2 linked regions of the Cricetulus griseus genome follow. The protein of the gene in region 1 interacts with the protein of each later gene in a pairwise test. Links are inferred from orthologs where the notes say so. Each region holds a gene or a part of one and is shown on either strand. Other genes may lie near its edges.

Region 1 (4,501 bases):
AAACTCACCCCCAAACACCTGTTCTGAGGCGAGGGAGTCCCGAACAACTAGAAGGTGGAAGGAGGAGTTGTTTTTGGGAAGCCATTCTCTGGGAACTCTCCCAGCTCTGCGAACACTCCTGTAGCCACCGGCCAATGGAGCTGCTCCCCGACCCATTTCTTGGTTATCCTAACTGGTTTGCAACCCCCAATCAATCACCACAGGTCCATAATGGGTCCTTCCATCTCTAGAGGAAGCATTGCTTGGCAACATAGCTTTCTGGGCCACACTCTTCCTGCTGATTTCGTAGCCACAGCCTCTCCATTCCCCGTCCTTTCAACCTGGCGCTAGAACATTCCCATCAGTATCAAACCAGGTTCCGGGCATTTCTGCTAAGAGGACCGCCCACAAAACAAACAACCACCACCAACAACAAAAGCCAGCTGCAATTTCCTCCAGTTAATATAGATCTATTAGATACTTCTTGCTGCAAAGGGCCAGTAAGTGTCGTCTATGCTGATTTTAGGTAGGCAGCAACAGCTTCCTGGGTTCCAGCCTCACCAAAGAATCAATTACCAGACAACTGAAATCGTCTCGCGTGTCACAACTGACGTCACACTTCACAATTACCATGCGGAACAATTTCACCTTGAATCTCAACCTTTTGACCTCCTAAAGTAACCCCCCGAGGTTAGGCTCTGGGGTTCTGGACATGGGAAGGCTCAAAGTTAGTCTATTCTCCTCAGAACCCAGGAGAATTCTCTGGGCTCTCTGGTTCCCGCCCTCTTGGAGCCCACCCGCCCCTCTCTCCACCCCACCCTCCACCCCACCCTCTGATTAACAACCCGGACTCTACTCCCACCTCGATCTGGCGCGCTGAGGGGCTCACACTACTTACCTAGAGGGCCTTGCCTAAAGGCGCCTACACTCGGGAAGGCCAGCTGGGAAGGCAAGGGGAGGTTTGCTATACAGGCCAGCTGAGAGCACGTGGTGGACCAGAGAGGAGGGTGTCTCTGAGTTGAACGCTCCCTCGGGCCCGCCCCACACCCCTGCTACGAGTACCCCGAACGAGTGGTGCGAGCTGCCGGGGCAGGCAAGAGCTGGTGTGTGAATGGAACGGCCGCGCATCCTGGCTCCTCCTCCTTCCCCCGTTGCCGGCCCCTCTTATTTGAGCTTTGGGAAGCTGGGGGCAGCCAGGCAGCTGGGGTAAGGAGTTCAAGGCAGCGCCCACACCCGGGGGCTCTCCGCAACCGAATTGCCTGCCTGCTCCCCCTTTCCCTTTCCCGCCCTTCCTCCCACCCACTCATTCACCCACCCACCCAGAGCGAGGACGGCAGCCCAGGAACCCGGGCCGGCCGCCTCCTCGCCGCGATCCTGGACTTCCTCCTGTCGCAGGAGCCGGCTTCCACGTGTGTCCCAGAGTCGGCATCTCAGCACACCCTCTGCCGTGAGCCCGGGTGTCTTCAGCAACAGGAGCAGCCGGGGGATCGAGGCACCCGCAGCACCTGGGCCAAGTCCAGTGCCGAGAGTCCACAGGATCGCAGGAGCGGAGGGCCGTCCGGGTCCGAACCGCAGCTGATGGGTTCCGACGTGCGGGACCTGAACGCTCTCCTGCCCGCCGTGTCGTCGCTGGGCAGTGGCGGCGGCTGCGGGCTCCCCGTGAGCGGCGCGGCTCAGTGGGCGCCGGTGCTGGACTTCGCGCCTCCGGGCGCCTCGGCTTACGGGTCGCTGGGCGGTCCCGCTCCTCCGCCCGCTCCGCCGCCGCCTCCGCCGCCACCCCACTCCTTCATCAAACAGGAGCCCAGCTGGGGTGGCACCGAGCCGCACGAAGAGCAATGTCTGAGCGCCTTCACCTTGCACTTCTCTGGCCAATTCACCGGTACAGCTGGGGCCTGTCGCTACGGACCCTTCGGTCCTCCCCCGCCCAGCCAGGCGTCCTCGGGCCAGGCCAGGATGTTCCCCAATGCGCCCTACCTGCCCAGCTGCCTGGAGAGCCAGCCCACTATCCGCAATCAAGGTAAGGAGTCCGGACAACCGGCACACCACATGCGGCTGTGGCTTGGCTTCCTCGTCCAACGCGGTTTCTCCTCTCTGTTCCTTCCAGATCCCAGCTCTCACCCAGCTGCTTTCCCAAAGAGTATGAAAGGAGCGGGTGTGTGGGCAGGGGAGAGTGGGCTCCGTGAAGTGCTAAGGCACACACACACACACACACACACACACACACACACACACACACACACACACACACACACACACACACACAGCTGAACAAGACCCCAGAGTCCGATAGTTCGCAGGACCCGGGAGGACATTTGGGGTCCCAGGATCCCTGAGAGACTCTGGGACTCCACGGGAAGTAGAAGGGGGCATTGGTTGTAGCGGGTGGCTCTATATTGGGGAAATGTCTGATGCCCCACCGAATTACCACCAGGCTTCGGCCCTGTTAGATTTCAAGGGTAGAAGGACTTAGAGGACTCAGGAGTCGGGTCAGCATTTAGGGACCCCCTGTAATGCCTCTGACAGAACCAAACCCCAAGAACCTCTAGCTCTCCCCAGGAGCTGGCTTACTTCAGGCCCACCAGAAGCAGAAGGGAGCTTCAGAATGCGGGCTTGACACTTAGGGGACCGTGTAGGGGTTTGAGCATAGTTTGTGGAAAAGGTAGTACTGTGGGGATCGCTCCAGGCCACGCAAAGTCGCAGGCTACGCAGGCGCAGGCGGCGGGAATGGAAGACAGCCTGGCTTCCATAAGAAACCAAATCCGTGGAGGGAGTCTGGGAAAAGTGACCTTCTTTCAGCGCTCCTCGGATGCTTCCTAGTCACCCGGAGGTTAGGCTGGGGAAAGGTTCGTAAGGTGTGGATGTTGGAACAAGAACAAGTGTATTGGGGGATCTTCAGCCAATGTACAAGGGACCTTGTATGAAATAAGTATATTTTCTAACTCTCTCAGTCCCCCTCCATACACCTATCCGTCGTTGGCACCCTGGCAGAACCATGGTTGCTGAGCCACTGTAGTTTTCTTCTTTTGTTCTCATTTGATTTCTTTGCTGTTGAGAATCTAATTTGGTTTGATTCGATGTTTTGGGAAAATACTTACTAACACAAAGGCGATGCTTTTCTTGAATCAAAAATTCTGCTGTCCTAGGTCTGGGTGTTTCTGAAATGTGTGGGAAGGGGGACGCCGGGCCGGTACTGTTTGCTGCGGGAGGTGAGGAAGCGTTCTGGGGCCTTCTGAACCCATCCAGCAGCCCCTCGACCACCCGACGCTCTAGTGAAACCGAAACCACTGAAGAATGGGAGCTGCTGGTCTCAAGGAGCAACCTGGAGAGGACTCAGAGTATCCCTCCCCTCTAGGTCTCTCATAAATTAGTGTTTTGTACAAGAGATGTTGGAAGAATTTGCTGCCTTTGCAGAGGCTCTTGGACCGCGCCATCACTTTCTAGTAGGCAGGTGTTACTGCTGGCAAACCTCCGGGTCAGTTTGCTGATCTCATAAGAGGAGAGCTGAGATGGGTTAGGCCGAAAGTTACAGGCCAAACACGAGAAACCTGACCAGTCTCTAAATACAGAACATACAGCTCACCTGAACCTCCCTGGGTCAGAAACCACGCCACTGTCAGGCATGTGTATGACTTCAGTGAGCATGCCTGTTTTTTGGAGAGACTCACTGACCTATAACCCTCAGGGAAGCAAATACTAATATACCACCATCCTTTTGAGTCCTTCTAGGCTCACAGGGGCTTTGTTATTGTGTGTGTGTGTGTGTGTGTGTGTGTGTGTGTGTGTGTGTGTGTGTGTGTGCTTAGCATGGGGGGGGCATGCTTAGCATTCTGCACTGCAAGTCTGGTAGAAGCCGGTAGGAGAAGGTGGGTGGGACTGAGAATTTAAAGCCCGAGGACATTACCATTACACTTGCAGGGGGGGGGGGCGTGTTCCAGATTCTTCTGGAGTAGACAGGTAGGACTGCTACTGAAGAAAGAGCTTCCCGAGGAGCTGAGGACCAGGACCAACCTGTGACACCTTCCCACCACGCTCTGCTCTTCTCATGCCACAAAGGAAAAGGCCGGTGGGGAGGTGTCTTCAGGGTAGGGTCATACCATGGAAGCAGGTTCCTGTCAGGGAACTTACCCTTTTCTCTCCTAGTTAAAGCAAGTGGGTTGTACAGGTACAGTCTGGGAATTGTGAAGCTGCTGCCCCCCCCCCCACCAACTCCAGGTAGCAACTAGGGCAGACTCTTGAGCTCCCAAATCCTTTGAATATCCATTCCTTTTACTTCTGGAGTTCCTGTAGGTCAGTTCAATAATTCAGGATTTAGTTTGGGGTTTTGATTGGGAGATGCCAGCTGTCCCTGGAAAGTGTGAGAATGGCCACCATCATGCTTTACTCTGATTCCACTGTGAAGAATTCAAGCTGGCTCTAGTTACCTGTATACAAACCAGGGAGCCTAACTATGACACTCACTCATCCCTTCATATATATATATATATATATATATATATATATATATATATATTTCTTATATATA
Region 2 (2,739 bases), on another chromosome or scaffold:
CCAGTAGGAGAGTTCTCAACACAGTGTTATTGGAACTCTAGTGTCTGCTAGGATCAGATGGACTATGTGTATCTGGCAAGTGCAAATCCCCCAACTAGGAAGAATGTAACAGTACAGAAGTGTTCTTATGCAGTGAGAACATTCTGGTGTTAACCCAGTGAGAAGAATGTAAAATTGTTCATATGTACATCTCAAAGTCAGTATTGCAAATTGAAGCCAAATACCTTTAAAGTTATAATTTCTGCTGTTATTGCCAAGGCTAAAAGCAGTGAAGTTTTACTGGATTGTTGCTTCAGTTTTATTACTCTGTTGGTTCTCTTGTATTGCATCGGCCCTATTATTTGAAAATTAAAGTGTTCAAAAGTATGGTGCGGGGCTGGAGACATGACTCAGCACTTAAAGAGCACTGGCTGCTCTCCCAGAGTTCAATTCCCAGCAACCACATGGTGGCTCACAACCATCTGTAATGAGATCTGGTGCCCTCTTCTGGCCTGCAGGCATATATGCAGGCAGAACACTGTAAACATATATATATATATATTTTTTTTTTTAAGTGTGGTGCTCCTAATCTGACAGATAATTTGAGGTTTGGAAAATAATCCTGGATCTTTGTGATTTGGGATTATACAGTCTTTAATCACATGCCAGTATTAAAATGCTCATCAGGCATAGTGTCTCACTCCTGTAATCCTAGTACTTAAGAGGTAGGAGGATTGTAATTTCAGTTATCCTCTACTCTCTACTATATAAAAACAACAACAAAAATTATGTTCCAGTTAAGTTAAATCAAGAATTAATGGATTTCTATTTGGCAAGTCCTTTAAAAGCTATATTCTTATATAGATGATACCCGTACCAGAGAGCTACCTATTAAAAGGAATCCCTTATGTGTGTTTGTTAGTAAGAATATGTTCTCATTCCTTTACAGGTATTTTATGGGTGGTAAAGAGGCATACATTTGTAATTGGTACTCTACATACTTTTAAAGAACCTTTGTTTGATAAAGAGTAGTACCTTCATGTTACATTAACAGTATTTCCAAGATATGTGTGAAATGGCCTGCTTATACTTCAAATAATGATTTAGGATGAAAACATTGATACAGCAGAAACAAAAAGTGGCTCTTTGGCCCTTTTTGTTTAAGGTTTATTTTTGCTGCTCTATTGGTAAATACCGAAGTGCAGAAGATGGACATGTTCCAGAAAAGAAGATGGTAATTACAGGGTGGCATCTGCTGTGACATAGTTATGTTCTGTACATGTGCTGTAATGGTTGTGAGCAAAGGCTATAGAGAGCTTTGTCTTCATTTTGTGATGATTGGCTCTTTCCTTTGCAGCCAAACAGGCAAAAAGTTAATGGCGAAGTGTCGAATGCTTATCCAGGAGAACCAGGAGCTTGGAAGGCAGCTGTCCCAGGGCCGTATTGCACAGCTTGAAGCAGAGTTGGCTTTACAGAAGAAATATAGTGAGGAGCTTAAAAGCAGTCAGGATGGTAAGGGGGTTTGTTGTTTAAAGTTTGCCTGTCTTTGCATTGGCTTTAAAGGCTACCAGGCTTGCCATACATCAGTGTCTGTGCATGTGCTGGCTACTGAGAATCGTGCATGCAACACCTACCATTGACGTGTAAAGCAAAGCCACTTAATTGATGTTAGAGTGTTCCCCAACGTACTAATAGATATTGGGAACTTTAGAAAATGTGAATCTTGGAAACACTTTGATATTTCTGTGCTCAGAAAGTAACGTAGTTATATTTCCTTGAGGTCCTATCAATAAAAAAGGAGATTCGGTATTTAAATTTGCTAAGACAAACCAAATGTAATTGTTACCATAGTCCTGTTTTTATTCAAGTGTAGCTGCATTTTTTTTTCTTGTGACGTGGATTAATAGTAAAAAATGGGACCATACTGTGAACATACAAACTGGGAATCAGTATATTGGTTGGTTGGTTGCAAAGCAGGTTGGTGGGTAATACTGTCGCTTTTCACTTTTACTATTTGTAAACATGGTAAGTGGGAGATGGTAAGTAGCAACTAAAAGGCTGTTTTTCTCAAAGTCTTTTCAGAAAGTTAATGGACTTGTATACTTTAGCAATCCATCCCCAGGTATTTTTTATATAATTGTCTTCTTGTGTGTGGAACAGACCTCTTTGGGGGGGGTTAAAGAACCAATATTATCCTGAGGGCTGGACCTGCTGTAGATTTAATTTAAGGCACTGGCTGAGGGTGAAGAGTAGGGACTCTCGGGTCAGCACAGTTAAGATTTTACATGGCTGTTGTCAATTATATGAGGCAGGAAGGTTGGCAATTAACTTGGTTACTTTAATATATTTAAAGCATCCAGCTACCCTCCAAACTCATTCTTGAATAGTGATTAAAATTATTAGAATTCCAGGTAAATTGATTTTGGTTTTTTGGAGACAGGGTTTCTCTGTGGCTTTGGAGGCTGTCCTGGAACTAGCTCTTGTAGACCAGGCTGGTCTCGCCTCTGCCTCTGCCTCTGCCTCTGCCTCTGCCTCTGCCTCCTGAGTGCTGGGACTAAAGGGACTAAAGGTGTGCGCCACCAATGCCCAGCCTCAGGTAAATTCCAATTTTAGAACAACATTTATTGACTACTTAGCTTTGTGGCTGGTGCTTACTATTTGAGGGGGCTGGAGAAGTAGCTTAGTGGGCATAGTGCTTGCCATGCAAGAATGAGGCCCTAAGTTTGGATCCCAGCACCCATATAAAAAGCTAGGTGTGGA

Evidence for each region.
Region 2: the proteins of Wt1 (region 1) and pre-mRNA-splicing regulator WTAP interact in binary tests that used the Homo sapiens proteins (3 or more experiments, as listed by UniProt). The link is inferred for Cricetulus griseus from reciprocal best matches to the Homo sapiens genes WT1 and WTAP.

The regions. Positions count from the first base shown.
Region 1 is NC_048599.1:72,540,010-72,544,510, reverse strand, and holds the start of Wt1 (Wilms tumor protein), read left to right. Parts: upstream 1-1,557; coding exon 1,558-1,996; intron 1,997-4,501. UniProt on the Homo sapiens protein: Transcription factor that plays an important role in cellular development and cell survival. Recognizes and binds to the DNA sequence 5'-GCG(T/G)GGGCG-3'. Regulates the expression of numerous target genes, including EPO.
Region 2 is NC_048595.1:288,094,363-288,097,101, forward strand, and holds part of pre-mRNA-splicing regulator WTAP, read left to right. Parts: intron 1-1,336; coding exon 1,337-1,491; intron 1,492-2,739. UniProt on the Homo sapiens protein: Associated component of the WMM complex, a complex that mediates N6-methyladenosine (m6A) methylation of RNAs, a modification that plays a role in the efficiency of mRNA splicing and RNA processing.